2 linked regions of the Canis lupus familiaris genome follow. The protein of the gene in region 1 purifies or fractionates together with the protein of each later gene. This does not show direct contact. Links are inferred from orthologs where the notes say so. Each region holds a gene or a part of one and is shown on either strand. Other genes may lie near its edges. The genes, in order: CCT4 and TLE2.

Region 1 (4,416 bases):
TAAAGCAAAGTGTTTCTCTTCTCAAATGATCATATCATTTGTCCTTATCAGGATATGATACACATTTACTGTGTCCATTAGAGAAAATTCATTATTTATTAAGAATATACTAGAAACTGATTTATTCTTTTTTGATTTGTTCTTACACTTTTGATTATAGGACACTTCACCTTTTGTTGTTAAAGTCACTATACAGAATACTGGCGCCCTACCTACGGCAGAATCAATTTTGAGGATTTACCTAACCCTTCTCTAGTACCAAAATAAGCACAATGACCTCTGAATGAAGGCTGTATTTTTCTCCATTCCTTAAAAGAACACAAGCAGCAACAGGGGAGGCAAGACTTCCTAATATACTATACTGTCTCCCCTAATTATAGATTGAATCTTTGAAGGCAAAGAGTTTTTTGTCCACCAATGTGAAGCTCGTCTAAAGATGGTCCACAGTAAAACATCCTTTGCCACCTTCTACCTTGCCACCAAATAAGCTCAAACAAACAAAAACCTCAAACCTTTACCCAAACCAAAATTTAGGTTTTAGTCATCAGTACATTATAAAACACCTCCGGATACACAGTCTACCATTCCAACGTTACATGTTCTTATTAATGCTCCTTAAGAGTGTTTATTAGTCCACTTAAGGGAAATTAGATTTGATGAACACTCAAGTCAAATCCCCTTTTGAGAAGCCCAGGACAAATAATTAGGCCTTCCCCTTCCTAAGATACCACCTCACTCAATATACACAGGGCTGAGATTGTGCCCTAATCATTGTAGACTCCACAACCAGCATCATACTCCCCCTCCCTTTATTGTGTAAATAATAAAGATCTTAACAAAATGAAAGTATTTGCTATAATTAAAAGTTATTCCCCTCCCTTTATTGTGTAAATAATAAAGATCTTAACAAAATGAAAGTATTTGCTATAATTAAAAGTTATTTTCCACTTAATTATTTCATAATTTTGGGCTTCTATTCCTAATTAACCAGGCAATATTATGCTTTCAGGCGATTTTAGTGGACCCACATGGCCCAGGTTCTACAAGCAGACCAACTCACTTTAAGATTGCCCTCACATTCGTCTACATGAAGTTAGGACAACGCACCCTAACCAAAAAATAAAGAAGGATTTTAGACTGCTTACATCTACAAAGGTGTCTGATTGCTACCATTCTGTGTGGCACACAGTAGGGTCTGTTACAGGACGCATGCCGAACAGTACCAGAACTAGTATTTCCTGTGTGTCTATATGGTTTTTACATGATCAATTTGGGGAGATGGGGGGGGGGGAGCACCATTTTGAGGTAACATTTAAATAAAAAACTGGCTCCCTGAATTAAACCAAAACTACACCTAAACGAAAGCAACTTTTCTTGACCAAGTTGGCTAGGTTTTGTCTGATTTGGAAAAAATTAGTTGTGCCCCTGAGTTCTCACTGAAAAGGTCATGTTCACAGATAATTCACCCGACCTCCGCTCACCAGGCCCTTCCAAAGGATTTCGCTCCATCCTGCCCTCCCGATCTCACTTCTCGCATCTTCATGCACTTTATTCTCTAACTGTAATGAAACTGGATTATAAGGCTCAATAAGCATCAGGTAAGATCTCTAGGCCTTTGTTCTCATTTTTCCTTCCAGACTCTTCTGTCTCAAATCAACTATACTTAATTCTCACAACTCTTAAAAAAAAAAAAAAAAAAAAAAAAAAGAAAAAAAAAGGGCAGCCCAGGTGGCTCAGCGGTTTAGCACCGCCTTCGGCCCAGGGCGTGACCCCGGGGTCCCGGGATCGAGTCCCACGTCGGGCTCCCTGCATGGGGCCTGCTTCTCCCTCTGCCTGTGTCTCTGCCCTTCTCTCTCTCTCTCGGTCCCTCATGAAATAAAAATAAAAATCTTAAAAAAAGAAAAAAAAGCGAGGGAACACCTTCCCAATTTTAGGGGTGAGGAAACGTTCGCCAGAGGTCGAAGGTCACAGAGCCACGAAGCAACGGTCACAGAGAACGGTAGCTCGGGTCTTCATCTCCATCATACTCCGACCTAGTCTGCAGAACAACACAGCGCCAACGCGCCGTCCACACTTCCAGGCCGGCGGGGCCCGGCTGCACACGCAGACTGGGCGGAAAAGCACAGCGGGCTTCCCGGGAGCTCCAGCCGGCAGCGAGGCCTCCCTCACAGCCCAAGACAAAGGGCGCCGCCCAACCGAGGCGCCAGCCCCCTTTCCATTAGTTGAGCCGAGAGCTTCTTTACGTGGTATCCTCGTAAGAACACCTGAAACCTAAACTGCATTTTGCAAAAGACGTTCTCGCAGGGGAACCGACGACAGCGCTGCCGCGGCAGGTGCCCAGGCCCGCCGTCTCCGGCAGCCCGAGGAACCGCCGAGGGCGAAAGGCTGCGGGCGTCAGGGCCCGGGCCTGGACCGGGCGGCGCCGGCGACCCCCACAGAGCGCAGCAAAGCTCGCCGCGGACCATCCCGGCAAACAGAAGAGGCGCTTTGGCAACCCAAGTCCGGGGCCGGAGCGCAGAGCTCGGCCCGCACGGCCTCGGGCCGGACGCCGCGAGCGGTACCTTTGGCCGCGGAGATGTTGCTGAAGCGGATCTGCGCCGGCTTGTCGCGGTCCTGGTAGGCGGTTTTGCTGCGGCCGCCGGCGGCTGCGGCGGGCGCCCCGCTCCGCGGAGCCGCGTTCTCGGGCATGGCCAACTCGGCGGGGTCTGCGCGGGCCTGGGAGGGACGGATGGACCCGGATTCCTGCCGGCCGCCGACGGACGGAACGCGCCCGCCGCCTTCACGAAGCTTCCAGAAAGCGGCGCGGGCGCCGGGAGGAGGGGGAGGCGGAGGCGGAGGCGGGGAGGGGGCCTATCGGGCGGCGTCGCGCCGACGTGACGTATAGGGCTGCCCGCCGCGCGCCGGGGGCCGGGGCCGGGGCCGGGGCGGGGGCTTTGTGTCCCGGGAGTGCTGGCCGCAGGGCCCGGGGGTGCAGGCGCGATGGGCAAGGGGAGGCGGGGGTCCCCTGCGAGGCAGGCCGGACACCCCGCGATTTTACAGGCGGGCGTTGGGCACCCACCTCGCGCGTTGCCCGGGCCTCCGCGGGCCGCGAGGTCCTTCCGTTAACGCGACGCGCCCGAGCCACGCACGGGGAGCCCAAGCCTTTCGGTCCAGTTACAATCGTTTAGTTGTTCTGTGCCAGGGGCATGGCTAAGACCTTGGGCCTTTGTATGTCCTTTAACCTTCACGATAAGTCCATGAAGTGGGCGCTCCCCCCCCCCCCCCCCGATCTGATAACGAAACACCAAGCCCCGGGTCAGCCTGTAAGTAGATTGAAACCGTATATTCCATGGAGAGCAACGACTCCCAGGTCATGAGTTAAACCGCCGGGCTCCTGTTAACACTTTTTATTAGGGACGTTCATAAGGCAGGGGTGCCTGGGATATATGGTCAAGGACGGGTTGTTGCAAAAAGCCCTTAACCCTGTGAGCGCTCGGGGCTTTTACACACCTTGAGGAGGTTAGCCCTAGAAGGTGAACCTTCCCAAGTGCTCTCTGGTCCACATGCCTTTGATGCTGGCTGTTTTTATTTTTTATGTTTTTGTTTTTACCTGGGTGGCTCAGTGGTTGAGCGTCCGCCTTTGGCTCAGGTCCTGATGCTTCGGTCCTGGGATCGAGTCCTGCATTGGGCTCCCAGTGGGGAGCCTGCCTCTCCCTCTGCCTGTGTCTCTGCCTCTCTGTCTCTCATGAATAAATAAATACAATAAAATAAGTAATAAAAAAATGAAAAGCTTTATTTATTTTAGAGCCTGCGTGTGAGAGCGAGCAGAGGGAGGGTCAGAGGGAGAGAGAATCTCTAGCAGAGGCCCTGCTGAGTGCAGAGCCCGCAGGAGGCTCCATCTTATGACCTGGGAGATCATGACCCAAGTGGAAACCAAGCTGATTTCGCTTTCAGAAAGAACCAGACTTCTATGATGTAGCTCATAAGTACCCTATAATTACTTGTTAAGACAACTGATGTGCAACAATGAATATAGCATTTATCTGGGGTGCAAAATCCTGGCTTGAATTCTGTTTTGCTACTTGTTAACTATGTGATTTTGGGCAAGTCATTTTAGTTCTCTGGGTCTCCTTTCCCTCACCTATATAATAGTAAGATTAAATTTCATGATCTCTAAAGGCTAGACTCTCCTAATTTTTTTTTAAAGATTTATTTATTCATGAGAGACACAGGGAGAGAGAGAGAGAGAGAGAGAGGCAGAGACACAGGCAGAGGGAGAAGCAGGCTCCCTGCAGGGAGCCGGATGTGGGACTCCATCCTGAGACCGTGGGATCATGCCCTGAGCCAAAGGCAGATGCTCAACTGCTGAGACACCCAGGTGTCCCCTGACTCTCCTAATTTTTAAGGAGTAGATCTATGAGCCATAAAGGACAGAGC
Region 2 (3,802 bases), on another chromosome or scaffold:
GTGGCAGGCCAGGCTGTCCAGAGCACCAGACTCCCTGAAGCGCCAGGGAGCGAGTGACCGGGCCCGCCGGGCTTGGGGTCAGCTTTCCTCCCAGCCGCTGTGTGTTCTTGGGCGAGCTACTGCCCGTCTCTGGACACCTGTCTCAATGTTCAGGGGAGGACGCGGGTGTAGGAAAGAGGAGGGAGGTTCTGAGCTGGGAAGGGGGCCCTATAAACTCCAGAGGGGTGCGCCCCTGGCACCACGAGCTACGGAACCCTCACCTTGTCTCCCCTCTCTCTTCGCCTCCCCTGCATCCTGCCAGTGGACAGAGCCCCAAGCAGGGTAAGTTGCAGGGCGCCCAGGAACTCGGGTGACATTCGCTTTGTACTCGCGGGTGGCTGGAGCCGGGGGTTCTGAGCTGATGGGGTCCTCAGAGCAAGACCCCGGGCAGCTCCTGGAGCCTTTTGCTGTGGGAGGTGCCCCTAAGGCTAGACTTCTTTTTATCAAAAGTTTGCCACCTTGAGCTTCTTTCTGCAATTGAATAAGTGAACGTGCAAGGAGTAGCCTCCACCCCCCCTTCCGTTCATCAACCGTCCGTCATCCAGCTGATGTTATCTATCAGAGCTGCTCTGTAGCCCTGTGTGTAATTTTTATTATTTCTAAATTGTTTTTCTTTTTTAAAAGATTTTATCTGGGATCCCTGGGTGGCGCAGCGGTTTGGCGCCTGCCTTTGGCCCAGGGCGCGATCCTGGAGACCCGGGATCAAATCCCACGTCGGGCTCCCGGTGCATGGAGCCTGCTTCTCCCTCTGCCTGTGTCTCTGCGTCTCTCTCTCTCTCTCTCTCTCTGTGTGTGTGTAACTATCATAAATAAATAAAAATTAAAAAAAATGTTAAAAAAAATCCTAAAAAAAAAAAAAGATTTTATCTATGTATTCACGAGAGACACAGAGAGAGGCAGAGACACAGGCAGTGGGAGAAGCAGGCTCCCTGCGGGGAGCCCGATGTGGGACTCGATCCTAGGACCCCAGGGTCATACAGATGGGGAGACTGAGTGCCAGGGAAGGAGCCGACTGCCTGAGGCCCACAGGCAGGTTGATGCTGCGGGAGGGGGATGCAGCTGACCCAGGCTTTGACCTTCGAAGGCCAGACCGTTGGCGCCTGTGGGCTGGCTTTGAGTCCTGTCTCAGCCCCTCCTTCACGGCACAGCCCTGCCTTCCCTTGGGCTCAGTTTCCCTGTCTGTATAATGGGATTAACCATCACCTCCCCCCACAAGCTTGCTGTGGGGGGTCAAGAACTGAGCATTGACTCTGCCCTCGGAAGGTCCCATTTCCCAGATGGGAAACTTGAGGCCCAGATCCCAATAACAGTGTTGGGGACCCTCGGGCTTGGCTGTGCCAGGATAGGGTCTGGGGCCTCGGGGCTCTGACCCTCTGTCCCATCTGGCCCTGTCTCTCTGCAGAGCGCATCCCCCTCACCCCCTGAGAGTGTGGTGGAAGAGGAGCGGCCCGGTGGCCCGGCCGGCAGCGGGAAGCAGCGCGCTGAGGACAAAGATCTGTCAGGACCTTATGTAAGTGGGGGGCAAGCAGAAGACTGGGGCAGGCCCCCAGCCCTGCTGTTCAGAGCCGACCAGAGCCGAGCTCTGGCCGTGACTCTCTCACTCCAGGGCCTTCCATAGCTCCCCTTTGCCCACGGAGCGCAGGGCAATCAGAAGACCCCTGCGGGCCGGGCCCAGCTCTAGTTGCTCTTGTGTCTGAAGCCCCTGGACCAGGCAGCGGGTGCCCCCCCTCCTGGATTTTGTTCCGGCCCGTGCAGCCCTCTGTGACTCCCCTTCCCCTGCCCCTCTAGGAGGCCCAGAATGCTCTGTCCTGCAGGAGGCTGGCCCTGGCCCCCCGCCCCCTCCAGGGCCGGGACCCCTCCCTCACTGTATGAGCCCCGCACCTGTAGTCTCTACCTCTGGCCCCCCCACCTCAGTGGAGGCTGGGGCTGTACCTGCGGGGGGAGCACTTGTTGCATCCGCAGGGCCAGCCTCACCCTGGTCCCGCTTGCCTGGCAGCCCCAGAGCCCGCAGGTCCTCCTCTGTTTCTCACAGATGCCTTTGCTCTTTAAGAATCGGAACAGTTTGTTCTATACACGTCAGCAACTCCTTTGGTTTTTAAAGAAGATAATTGGGGGTCGGTGGGGGGGGTGTCAGAGAAGCCCCTCCTGCTGGGAAGACGTGGGCTTCAGGCTGTACCTTCGGTCTTCCTGGCCTTTCTACTTGACACGGGGCAGCCCTGGACAACGCTGTTTCCCCCAAGGGCCGTGGGGGAGCCGCACAAGGAAGGAGAACTGATGTAGGGGCAGGCGTCAGGAGAAAATTCCTCTCGGGCAAGCTCGGAGGGCTGCCTGGAGGGGGCAAGCTGAAGGCCAGGAGCCTGAGGAAGGGCCAAGGCTATGGTTCTCCCCGCACTGCACAGAGCGGGGAAACTGAGACCTGGGGAGGGCCCCACAGCACGTCGTGGGCATGCAGCTCCACCCCCCTCACTTTTCTCCATAAGGGACTCCTGCCCCCTCCCCAACGCCCCCCTGGACCTGAGCAAATGGCAGCCTTTTTTCCGAACCAAGTACAGGGGCCTCTGGAGCCTCCAGAGCCCTGATCAGACCGGGGCTGGCCCTGTGTCCGCCCCCACTCCTGGGGATGAATAAGGGGATGTGGAGGCAGGGGCACGGCCACAGTAAGCTCTCTCCCTCTCCTCTGTGTCCCCCCCCAGGAGAGTGACGAAGACAAGAGTGACTACAACCTGGTGGTGGACGAGGTGAGTCGGGGTCCAGCCTCTGACTGCAGGGCCCAGAGGTCTGGGCACAGCGAGTGGCAGGTTTGGCAGAGTGTTGGGCGTGGAGGGAAGGGGGCGTCCTGGCCTCCTCTCGGTTCAGGGTGGCTGGGATGAGGGGACAGCCCGGGACAACCTCCCCTCCATAGCACAGGCCCTGAGAACCCTGGGGGGCGGGCAGTGGCTTCAAGCGCCCTCGCTGTGTGGTGGGGTGCTGTGCCCCCTCCCTGGCCTCACTGGCCCCCCAGTCAGGGGGGGACACCAAAAGCAAGCCCTGACGTAGACGTTGCCATGTGTGCTTATGGTGCAGGTACCCTCAATCCCATCAGACGGGGTGGATTGCAGGGGCCCAGCCTGGAGGGTGGGACGGGGTCTGGGGGGGTACAGGAATGGGCTCGCCCTCTTTACCCGCTTCCTCTCCACTTAACCTCACCTCCTCAAACCCAGGACCAGCCGTCGGAGCCCCCCAGCCCTGCCAGCACCCCGTGTGGAAAGGCCCCCATCTGCGTCCCTGCCCGTCGGGACCTCGTGGACAGTCCAGCCTCCTTGGCCTCAAGCCTCGGCTCGCCACTCCCCCGAGCCAAGGAGCTTGTCCTGGTAAGGAGTGGGGGAGGCCTGGAAACTCACTTCGTGCATCCTGGGGACCTGGAAACAGATGCTGACACCTGAGATGTGGAGGGGGGCGGAAACCGGCCCGGCCTGGGTGTCCAGAGGCTTGTCCTTCGTGGTTATTTGTCACCCTCCTAAAATCCGCCTCGACTTTGCCCAAGTACTTCTCCCGAGCGGACTGGCTCCGTCGGGCCTAAACACACACCAAATACATACACGTTCTCCATCTTCTGGGGAGACGGTTGCTTGCTTAAGTAGGGAGCCCCGGAAATAAGCCCAGTGACCATAGAATCCGGGCCCAGGGCTGACTCCCGCCCTGCAAGTGTTCCGGCCCCTGAGAGGCGCTGGAGGCGCAGCAGCCCCACCTGAGGTCCGGGCAGGAGGATTACTATGGGAACAAC

Evidence for each region.
Region 2: the proteins of CCT4 (region 1) and TLE2 purify together in Homo sapiens (affinity purification with mass spectrometry; 3 studies listed by BioGRID and IntAct, with this or other methods). This does not show direct contact. The link is inferred for Canis lupus familiaris from reciprocal best matches to the Homo sapiens genes CCT4 and TLE2.

Annotation. Positions count from the first base shown.
Region 1 is NC_049231.1:63,163,131-63,167,546, forward strand, and holds the start of CCT4 (T-complex protein 1 subunit delta), read right to left. Parts: upstream 2,802-4,416; 5' UTR 2,689-2,801; coding exon 2,562-2,688; intron 1-2,561. UniProt on the Homo sapiens protein: Component of the chaperonin-containing T-complex (TRiC), a molecular chaperone complex that assists the folding of actin, tubulin and other proteins upon ATP hydrolysis.
Region 2 is NC_049241.1:56,615,284-56,619,085, forward strand, and holds part of TLE2 (transducin-like enhancer protein 2), read left to right. Parts: intron 1-260; exon of another isoform or gene 261-301; coding exon 302-321; exon of another isoform or gene 322-504; intron 505-1,441; coding exon 1,442-1,549; intron 1,550-1,904; exon of another isoform or gene 1,905-2,381; intron 2,382-2,732; coding exon 2,733-2,777; intron 2,778-3,239; coding exon 3,240-3,389; intron 3,390-3,419; exon of another isoform or gene 3,420-3,594; intron 3,595-3,802.